Linked DNA regions of Rattus norvegicus. The protein of the gene in region 3 interacts with the protein of the main gene of each other region in a pairwise test. Links are inferred from orthologs where the notes say so. Each region holds a gene or a part of one and is shown on either strand. Other genes may lie near its edges. The genes, in order: Sh3gl1, Tcea2 and Gpkow.

Region 1 (3,493 bases), on a different chromosome or scaffold from region 3:
TGACTGACATGACTCTCCCACACCTCACTATCCTTTTACCTTTCTAGCCAGCCTCTATGTTCTGCCCTGTGTTCTCCAGGCTGACATGGGCTCTCTGTGGATAGTCCCAGAGTCCTGTGGATAGTAGGTCTGTCATGGTGCTGGCACTGGTAAATTGGAGCAGGTGAGCCTTTGACCCCCACCTGTGTCAACTTGCCCCCAAACTAGTCTGAGTCCCTGTTTTGAAGGCTGTGCTGAGGAGCAGCAACAGAAGGATCTGGAAGCTTCAGTGTATGAGGCATAGTTGCTGCGTCCACTGGACATCATGTCCATCCATAGACAGTTGTCATGTTCAGTTACACATAGTGGGGTCCCACTTTGACCCTCTGGATGACTGTAACTGAATGTAGCAGGGAGCCACTGGGCACTCTCCCTCCCCTTCTGTGATATGATCTTTGTTGCTCAGATTGAACCCTCCCACCCCCCATGGCTACCAAGTCACAATCATGGGATGTGATTGTTTAAGGGTGGCTGTCCATCAGCAGCCCCCATGGACCCGCCAAAAACCCCACTCTTCCTAACTTCTCTGTCACACATCCAGTTACCTGCCTCATGGCTCCTCTATCCTGTGCAGCCATGATGGTCTGTATCATGCTCTGAAAGACACTGTTTCTGCTTAGTTTGGCAACATGGGGCAAGGGCCCTACCCAGTAGCACCCTAGTCTCTATGATCCCGTTGGGTGGCTAGTCTCCCCATTGTGTCCTTTCTACTCCCATCCCAGGTACCTGGTTTACAGTAACATTGTTAACGGAGACCATATTAGGCAGACCCAATATGAGTAGCCAAGCTACTGGCTTCCTGTGCTCTAAGGGGTCAAATCTGTAGTAACAGGCTGGCCAGAGAAGTGGGAGCAATCTTGGTGCACATTGCTTTGGGCTTGTCCCCTAGAGTTCCCAGCACAATCCTGCTAGGGCAGTGATGCCCACATATCCACCAGCCCTGCCAGGTTAGCTGAGCACTACTCAGTTTGTACTCCAGAGTGACTGCAGCAAGGCAGCTCTTGGGAGGGATGGTGACCTCTGCAGGGCTGGCAGCTCTCTGCCAAGAACCTAGGTCTTTGCATGCCACCATGCAACCCTGTTGTGCTGTGGAGGCTGATGACTCCCCACAGACTTGTAAACAGGCTGTACCTTGCCTTCTGGCTCTGGAGTGAGGGTGTCTTGTCTCCTAGTTTTCTCCTGTGCCGATACCTGCCCCCGAGCTGTGGAGGGATGTGATTTTGCAAACGGCTCAGAGTACGAGGTTGCAGCTTGCTCATGGCATATTCAGTGATGTGTGGCCCCAGTGGAGCTCTTGGGCCTTGGGGAGGCTGGGTCTCCAGATCACAGGGCACAAGAGATAGGACCATTAAGAAAGCCGCTAGGTGTGCTCTGGGCTCCCCTCTTCCTGCCTTGCTGCCCTTCTTAAGATACCATGCCCCAGGCCCAGTTGCTGTCCCCGGAAGCTGTGGCCCTGCCTTACTTCTCTGCATTTACCATAAGAGCTAGGCCTTGTGGTGGGTGACATCCTGCCTCTGCTCAGCCTAGAGAAGCGAAACTGTTTGTGAAAGCTGGTGGGGTTCCCTGGGAATACCCATACACCTGGTGGGGCCTGTCCTGGGCCTCTCCATGAGTATGAAGATCTAAGACAGGCTCTGGGGACCCTCATGGGTAACCCTGTCTAGTGGACAGGGCAAGCCAGAGACTATGGCAGCCTTCAGATCACTGTGGGTAGCTACCCAAGCACAGGGTTGGGAGGTCACTCCCCTGCTTCTACAGCCACCCCACCCACTTCCTGATATCTTTGGTCATTTCCTCCCAGAGTACAAAGTCGTTACTGTTCCTGCCTGTGACATGGGTACCATACAGCCCTTGCAAAACCCTTGTAACAGCTCAGAGTCAGGAGCACCAAGGTCATGGCACCTGAAAATCCACACTGGTACCTTATCTCAGGAGTCCAGCCTGCTACTGTGCATGTGTGGCTTCCATGCCTTTAGCCTCTGAGCAAAGGCACCCTAGAAATACCCCCATACTGGGCCCCCTGTCTCTATAGCTAGTAGTAGACCTGTCATATCTCATGCGAGGGTGACCTGGGCAGTGGCTACCTTGCTTGTGTGTCCTAGGGGCTTGGGTATGATGAGTGAGGATGATTGTGGTGGGCAGATTGGGGTCTTGTGCCCCAGAGGGGTGACACATATTGTTTGGCATTCAGATAGTAACACAGCCACTCAGGACTCTCTGCCAGGTCCAGCAGGGTCAGGGCCCAGCTGTGTCTACTCTGCTCCAGGCTCTCAAGTCTAGGCTCCTGATTGCAAAGTGTGCTTTGTGAGGTCAAGTTCTGACTTCCTTGAGAGGGGGGGGAGGGTCCATCCTTATCAGCTGTCAATGTCAAAGTGGCAGGCACCAAGGACTCAGGTACACAAGAGCTTCCTGAAGCCTGCAGTATCCACAAGGCTTGAGCTGCCATGGGGTCTGTGCTCTGCCTTTGCCAAAGTAACAGGGTCAGCCAAGAACTGGGAAAGATGGAAGTCTCCATGGGGCATGGGCCTGGGACCTCAGAGGCAGTGCGCAATGCTAGCTGGGTCACAGCACACCCCAGCACTGTTGGCTTCTCTAGGGCTCACCCAGATACCCCATCTGCCCGCCTTTCCTGGAGTTCACATCCTTGACAGATACAGTTGCCCTCCACAAGCCAGCAGGAATTCCTCCTGTGCCCTCACATGCCTTCCTCCTTGTACCCAACAGCTGGTCAGCGAGAAAGTTGGTGGGGCCGAAGGGACCAAACTGGATGATGACTTCAGAGAGATGGAAAAGGTAGGATTCCACACTGGACTGTGGTGGGGGCTACTCCTGCTGGAGGACAGAAGAGCCTATATCCAGCTCCACCTCCACCTCTAATGGCTCCAACACTGTGGCTCTCTCCACAGAAAGTGGATATCACCAGTAAGGCCGTGGCAGAGGTGCTGGTCAGAACCATAGAATATCTGCAACCTAACCCAGGTAGGTAGGGCCTGGGCCTCTGGTTAGAGGGGTAGGAAGGGGAATACTGGGTCTGATTCCTCAGACTTCCCTTGGAACTGAAGTGATAATGACCTACTCTTGATGGCCTCTACACACACAAGGATTCCCTCTGCTGACTTGCAGAGCCAGTGTGCAGTGGAACCAGGTCTTCCCAGGCAAGGGTGACAGGGCACTCACTGAAGATTGAGAAAGTTAGACCACGTTCAAGAACCCAGACCACAGTGCTGTGATCATTTTGGCCTCTGCAGATGACAGATAGGCCTTCTTGCCAAGGCCTGGAGGAAGGGATGTATTGGAATTGTTCCCCTCCTCTGTGAACTGCCAAGTCCTTGGGAGTATACCCAGAGACAGCCTGGTGCCTGGCCCACTGGCCAGTTGGGGATATGAGGGCCCTGGTCTGGTGTACGCCTCAGTACAGTATAGTGTGGAGAGGAGCCTGTGAACCCACCTAGGC
Region 2 (2,804 bases), on a different chromosome or scaffold from region 3:
CACCCAACAAAGGCTTGAGATGCAACTGGAGATGATGTAAAACCTAAAACCCTTGTGTACTTGATGAAATGCCTTTCCAGAGGCTGGTGGGGACAAAGCGGATGGTATGGTCTTTCCAAAGAAGCTAGGCACAGCATCTTAATCTTACCGGTCCAATAAAGCAACACACTCGCTACTTTGTTCTTCCAAGTTGCTGGAAGTTTCAGCAGTTTGAAGCTAGAATTAACTTCAGCTCAGAGACCATCCTCCACCATGGGTAAGGGGAGTGAAGGACAAAGTAAAACATCCTGAAAGGATACCAGGTCCTCAGGCTGCCATACCTAGTGAGAACGGGTGAGCACTGGGCAAGTTCCTGCACCAGCCCACACAGCCAGCATGGTGGTGCACATACAAGCATTAGCAATATCCTAGAATCATACAAACAAGGAATGTCTCCAACATTAGACAAGCTCTTGTCTATAGTGTTGCCCTACCACAGCTTAGCTCAAGTGTTGTCGGAGCCCAGAGAGGAAAGATCTACAGCGGTGGACGGATAGGACCCAGCTGAAGCCTGTGTTTAGCCCATTAGGAGCAAGGCCAGAGGAAGGCAAAAAAGAAACATTTAATGATGAGGGGCAAAGGGCAGGCAGGTGCACACCAGGCAGGCTGGAACGGGGCATGCCACCTGCAGGGTATCTCCAGAGAAGCTGTGTCCACCAAGAGCGTTGCAGGAGGTTCAGGGTTAGCCATGGCCAGGGCTACATCAGTACAAGGACTCAGCAGAACTGCAGGAAGGCAGGAAAATGTCTAGCCAAGGCCCCACATGACCCCCTGGGTAGAAGTGGGTTAGGCTCCATCCCAGACTCCCAGGCAGCTAGGAGTCCCCAGGACTCCTAGCCAGGAGGAGACTCCCAGCCTGCCTCCTCCCCACCCCCACTCCCACCCCATCTCACCTCCCACCCCACCCCCGCAGTTCCTACTTCAGGCCCAATATGCATTGAGACAGGACTGGAGGCAAACACCTACCTTCCATCGATTCCCACACTCATTGCAGACAACATAGGTGGTCATGGGCTCATCAGAGCTACGGGTCTGCACCTGTAGGGTGGGTGGCTGAATCCCTGGTTTTGCTGCCCGGATCTGGGCAGTACTGGTCTTATACCCGCTGATCTCTATTGATGATTTGAAACTTCCCAGTGAACTACCCCAACCTTCTAGAACTAGACCTCTGGAGGAGGTAGGTTGTCATGACAGGCCTTTGTGGCCCTGAACAACTGTGCTCAGTTGAGTCTAGAATATTGGTTAAGTGCAGGATTCCCAACAGGAGGGTCTAGAAAGTAAAAGGATCAGAGATGCCTTGGGGACTCAACAGCAAACATCCCACAGGGCCTGAGCTGTGGGGACTGAGCTGCTCTGCCCCTCAGGTCCAGCCCTCTGCAGCCTATTGCAGATGATGGAAGTTCCCATAAGCCCTAGAGCTTCTACCAGAGAGACCATCTTAGTTTAGTCCCCTCTTCCCAAGCTCCCAATGTCCCATGGAAACCACATAGCCTTCCTAGAGTACCTCAGCTTCCACCTCCATAGTAGGACCTCAAGGTCCCACAGCTACTGACAAACAGCATGTTCTACTCCTATCCCATCCCTCCGTGATAGGCATGGGCAAGCCACCGAGCCCTGGCATAGAGCCTCAGGCCAAAAGCAGGGACACAGGTGATACCCAAGAGGAGGAGGAGTGCACCCTGCGGCCCCTAGACAGGAGGATGGAGGATGGTGTAGGCCCCGACCTGCGTGTAGGTGCAGTTCTTCTTCCTGCACTTGTTGCAGGTGAACAGGTCGGTCTGTGTGCCACCTGTACGGGCCATCTGGTGCTCTCGGATGGCCTCCTTGGTCATAGCCTTGCGGATCTCCTTCAGCTCGTCACTGGCCATCTCCTGATAAAAAAGGTGACGTATGCAGCCCACAGCTCTGTAGAGACAGCCGGCCCCAGCCCTTCCAGGAGAGCTTACCTCTGATGTCATCACAGCTATCTGCTGGGGTGTAATGGCACCACACAACACATTCCGGCGTAGGCCAGGGTTCTTGGCATCTTTCAGGTTAGAGATTCGGCTCCGAACACGGTTCTTGTACTTCATGTCAGTGTTTCCCACATCCAGGAAGATGCGTGCAGGTATTTAAGGACCCATCTGAGGTTTCTGAGCTCCTCCCCCTCCTGGTAGTCATATGGGAAATGTTCTTCCCAGGCTCATGGAGAGGAGTCTACCCACTCAAGACCTGTGGGGGACCCAAGGGTCTATAGTGTTCTGCCTTCTCTAGGCCCACTCCTATTTGAGACCCAGATAAATCTACTAAGTAGTCATAGCCCCTTACCCATTTATGGCCCAGAAAAGGTCAAGGGACCACCCAGAAAGGGCACTGGGTAGCCTACCAGTTGTGTCCAATAGCTACCAGAGAAGCACAACTCAGTGGACGATAGACTCTCTCAGAAGCCCTTAACCATTTACCCTACACAAAGGATATACTCCTCGATCTGAGATGACAGATGCTCACAGCTCACACCAACAGCCACGTGGTCGTCTGTAAGAGGGAGCCTCGCTTGTTTCCCCCACCATCTTTTTCCAACTGCCACCCCTCTGCTTGCACAGAGCCCTAGAAGCTAAACGGGACACTTGCATTCCAGGGAGACATTTCCCACCATACAGATGTTATGGTGACCTCAAAAACCTTAGCCTCTCTGCTAGGTCACAGCGAGCTAAAGAGAAGAGCTGTCTCTCCAGCAGCAAGCTCTGAAGCAGACAGAGGCCCAGGCCACCTACAGAGTCGAAATC
Region 3 (4,248 bases):
GCACATCAGAAGACTGAGACTAGCTGAAAGAGAGGGTGTATCACAAACATTTTATGAATAAAAGCTAAAACACTAGCCAGGCCCATTTAATTACAGCATTCAGAAGGCAGAGTGAGGTGGATCTCTGTGACTTCGAGGCCAGCCTGGTCTACATAAGTGAGTTCAGGACAGCCAGAGGAGCTCTGTTACACAAAGAAACCCTATGTCGAAAAGAAAAAAGAAAAAAAAAAAAAAGCTAAAACATTAAGAAGCTGAGCTCAAACTTTATTTCTACAAACACATTTTCCATCTCATCTGTTGTCATTTCTTCATTCCTTTATCATTACTCGGCACACTGCAAGATGCCTCAGAACTGATTTCCCACAAGGGTGGGTTTCTTGGGTTGTTGCTGCCATTCGGAGTCCCCAGTCTGATCATTCTTCTCTCACTAAATGTTAACTACCCTTCCAGTTCTCACTCCAGTCACTTCTATGTGTGTGTATCCTTACGACCTCTATTCTGGATTAGTCTACTCCCTTCCTGCCCTACCTTCACTTCCTAGTCATTTTTGGTCAGGGCAGACAAAGGGGACCCTGTTCTAACCCTGTCTGCTCAAGACTTCCCCTTAGCTCTCACTCCACTCATAGTAAAAGACAAAAGTCTGCTCTGTGGGTCAGAATGCCCTTTCTAATCTGGCCCCCTCTGCCTTCATCTACTGCCCACTCCCTCCCCATTCATTCCAATCCAGTAATAGGTTTCCTTAGTGCTCCTCAAACACTGCAGGCTAAAATCAGAACAAAGAAAAAAGAAAGAGGAAACAGACAAATGTGGTTCCAAACAGTGTACACCCTCATGGCATTTGTATTTCCTGTCCACTTTGTTGTCTACCTCATTCAGATAATCCCAGCATTCACGTACATTTTTAAACACCCTGCTTTCTGTTTTGTTAATGCTTCTAATAAGGGTGGAAGGAGGAAAGGCTAATTGGCAGGGCTTTGGGACATGCACACACACTTTCCCTGCTATGTGCAAGGAGACTAGGCAGACAGGGTAGAAGGAATAGTGTAGGAGGGAGGCAAAGGGACAGCTCACTGTCTCAGCCTGAGGTTCGCTGTATGTTCCTTCCCCAATGGGAGTACATCCTTTCTGGATCATGGGGATAGTGAGCGTGGGGTCAACACCTGCATTCTCCCTCTCCTCCAGAGACTTCTTGGATTCTAAGGAAGAATGGGAGGGATCAATGAGGCCATACCCTATCCTTCCAACTTCTTCCCCTTCTATCTGCACTAGGGCAGAGCAAAGAGGAAGGTTTTCACTCACCCTCAATGAGTTCCTTCACAGCCTGGGACAACACACCATCTGACGTCAACACGGTGCTTGTTTCTGAGGGCTTAGGGTTCTTGGACAGCAGTTGCCTGCGAGAGCCATTCTGGATCAATGGGATAACCAGCTCCTTTGGAGCTTCTGGAGGGTTCACACTGATGTGGATAGAGAAAAAGGGTTGTAGACATATTAGAAAGTAGAAATATCAGCCGGGTAGTGGTAATGCATGCCTTTAATCCCAGCAGCACTCAGGAGGCAGAAGCAGGAGGATCCCTGAGTTCAAGGCCAGCCTGGTCTACATGGAGAGACCCTGTCTTGACACCCCCTCTAAATAAAGTAAAAATATCAAGAAACAAAGAAAATAAACAATGGCCAGAAAGAAACAAACAAACAAAATAAATATCAATGCCTAGCCCTATGGACCATGTTCCACAGGTTACTATTAAAGGTCCACTCATCTTTTTTGAGACATCTCACGATGCATCCCATGCTGGTCTTATAAACTCTCAGTCAACCTGGTACAACTTCCTAGTGCTGGAAATACAACCAATACAAATGTATCATTTCTCTCCGGGGTCCCAGCTTTAAATGTGTCTTGTGCAAATCATTCTTAGGCCTTAAAGCATAATGACCTACAACTCACCACCTTTAGTCTAGCTTCTTAGTTCCAGGCCCATAAACTGCCGTTTAGAAGTCCCCCACTTAGGCCTCTAGGATCTTCCTTTCTTAATTATACTGATGATGGCCTCCCAAAACTTGACTTTGCCTCATTCTTCAAATCGGAGAAGCACCCACCATTTCAGTTGAGACAGGAAGAATCCTGTCATTCTCCCTCCTTTCCCTTTCTTAAAAGGCACACGACTTTTTCTCTGAGGAATTTATATCTCTGATTCTCAAGCCCCATTTCATCCACATAACAAACCTCCCTCTTCTTGCCCTTATTTTAGTAATTTCTTTGTTTTTTTTTTTTTTTAATATAGGCTCTCAAATTGCCCAGGTTGGCGTTCAATTCTTGATCCTCCTGCGCCAGCCTCCCAGGTCTTGACTTACAGGCATTTGCCGCCACTCCTGGTTACCTCCATAAATTTCCCGAAGCTGTTTCAGGCTTTCCAGGCCACTGTCACCAGCATAAATTTCTCTTACTCTGCCCTCCCGCTTAAGCCCATTTCACCGATTTCTAAAACGTGAAAAGACCCGGCGTTTCACCTTACTCTGCCCTCCCGCTTAAGCCCATTTCACCGATTTCTAAGACGTGAAAAGACCCGGCGTTTCACCTCTGCAGCTCCCTCCCTTCCACAGTCGCCAAGAAATCTTTCTTCTCTGGGGCCTGTCCTTCGCTGTCTCCGAGGTCTGCCAGTCGCCTCCGGACAGATGTGCGAGTGAAACCGAAAGAAATCGGAGCTGTGGACGCGGCAGCCGGTGGCGGACTCTCACGGCCCGCCATCTTGGCTCGAGTCCCAGGCGAGCGCTCTGCCTGCTGGGAAGTTTAACTCTAGTACCTTAAGGGCCGCCCAGGAACGCCAGAATCTATCCCAGAATGCAACGCCTCAAGAACAGGTGCCTTGAAGCCGTGGGAAACAGGAATTAGAGCTTGGGAACTCTTTAAACGTCATAGTAAGGTGCCGTACTAAGCATTCCGGGAAATGTAGTTCTTAGTGGTGTAGTCGCGGTGGAAGATTGATTAGGTTATTCCTGGGTATTAAACCGTTAGGAATTCAGTTCTACCCTCTTCCGACATGTACGCACACGATGTACATACAGGCAAAATATTTATATATACAAAACAAAATAAATAAATCTTGTATTTGACAAGCACATAATTTAATGTGCTTTTCCACAATGTGAATCTTACTGATGTAGAAAGTGTCAATAAGGTGAAAAACCAGGATTGTACCTGGGATGTGGTTCAGTTTGCAGTGCTAATAATTTAACTTAGGGCCTCGTCTAGGGAAGCACTGTACCATTAATCTGTATTCCTTTAATTTCTTTTTTTCTCTCCCATTCCCCAGTTTCTTATGCTTTCTTGTAAAGTGCCTTTGTTACACATAATCTCTATGTTGCACTTTTCTAACCCTTTTGAGCTTTTGGATGAGGCAGTGTCTTCTGGTTTTTGGCATGAAGAGCCAGGACCTTCTGGGTTGAAGCCTCTTTGCTTGACTCAGTTGCTTTTTTCCCCCAGCCAGAGCAGCACAACTGTTCATACTTAGCCCCCATATTTTTTGACCAAGATAACATTACAGATTTTCCATAACAGTGTTATAAATTATCCAAAACAGGAGATGAACATTTGTATAATGTTGCTTCTTTTTAATCACTGAGCCACACCCCTATCCCTGGGTGCGATTCTGTTAATTAAGCATTTTTTCCTTCTAGGATCCAGTTTTGATATCTCATACACTGCAATATAATTGTATGCCTCCTTTGTCTTCTGTAGTCTTTAGTGCTAGTTTTTTAGTCTTTGTCTTTACTGATTTTTCTTTTTTTTCTTTTTTTTTTTTTTTCGGAGCTGGGGACCGAACCCAGGGCCTTGCGCTTGCTAGGCAAGCGCTCTACCACTGAGCTAAATCCCCAACCCCGTCTTTACTGATTTTTAAAAATATAGCTCAGTTATTTTGAAGAACATAACGCCAATAAAGCTTGTTGTGTTAACTTTTCGCTATTAGTCTGAGGTTATAAGTTTGGGACAAGAATTTCAGAGGCAGGGCTAGAGAGATGGCTCAGCAGGGGAGGAAGGGGCCTATTGTACTTTTTCCCCATCAGTGATGGTTTGACGAGTTGCTTTGTTTACGAGGACAACAGCTGTTAGCATTTACTCTAAACTCTGTCCCACAGTTACTTGGCAACAGCTAGGTGTGCCAAACTGACTATAAAAGCGGCTGCTTGCCCCCTCCTCTCTCTCTTGCTCTGTTCTCTTGCTCCTGCTCCCCCTCTCTCCTCATTCCTCTC

Evidence for each region.
Region 1: the proteins of Gpkow (region 3) and Sh3gl1 interact in binary tests that used the Homo sapiens proteins (3 or more experiments, as listed by UniProt). The two-hybrid records come from large-scale screens. The link is inferred for Rattus norvegicus from reciprocal best matches to the Homo sapiens genes GPKOW and SH3GL1.
Region 2: the proteins of Gpkow (region 3) and Tcea2 interact in binary tests that used the Homo sapiens proteins (3 or more experiments, as listed by UniProt). The two-hybrid records come from large-scale screens. The link is inferred for Rattus norvegicus from reciprocal best matches to the Homo sapiens genes GPKOW and TCEA2.

What each region holds. Positions count from the first base shown.
Region 1 is NC_086027.1:936,525-940,017, reverse strand, and holds part of Sh3gl1 (endophilin-A2), read left to right. Parts: intron 1-2,763; coding exon 2,764-2,832; intron 2,833-2,945; coding exon 2,946-3,018; intron 3,019-3,493. UniProt on the Homo sapiens protein: Implicated in endocytosis. May recruit other proteins to membranes with high curvature.
Region 2 is NC_086021.1:189,179,412-189,182,215, reverse strand, and holds the end of Tcea2 (transcription elongation factor A protein 2), read right to left. Parts: intron 2,554-2,804; coding exon 2,497-2,553; intron 2,141-2,496; coding exon 1,986-2,140; intron 1,911-1,985; coding exon 1,764-1,910; intron 1,078-1,763; coding exon 1,006-1,077; intron 765-1,005; coding exon 756-764; 3' UTR 584-755; downstream 1-583. UniProt on the Homo sapiens protein: Necessary for efficient RNA polymerase II transcription elongation past template-encoded arresting sites.
Region 3 is NC_086039.1:17,475,458-17,479,705, forward strand, and holds the start of Gpkow (G-patch domain and KOW motifs-containing protein), read right to left. Parts: upstream 2,842-4,248; 5' UTR 2,747-2,841; coding exon 2,577-2,746; intron 1,458-2,576; coding exon 1,300-1,457; intron 1,197-1,299; coding exon 1,072-1,196; intron 1-1,071. UniProt on the Homo sapiens protein: RNA-binding protein involved in pre-mRNA splicing. As a component of the minor spliceosome, involved in the splicing of U12-type introns in pre-mRNAs.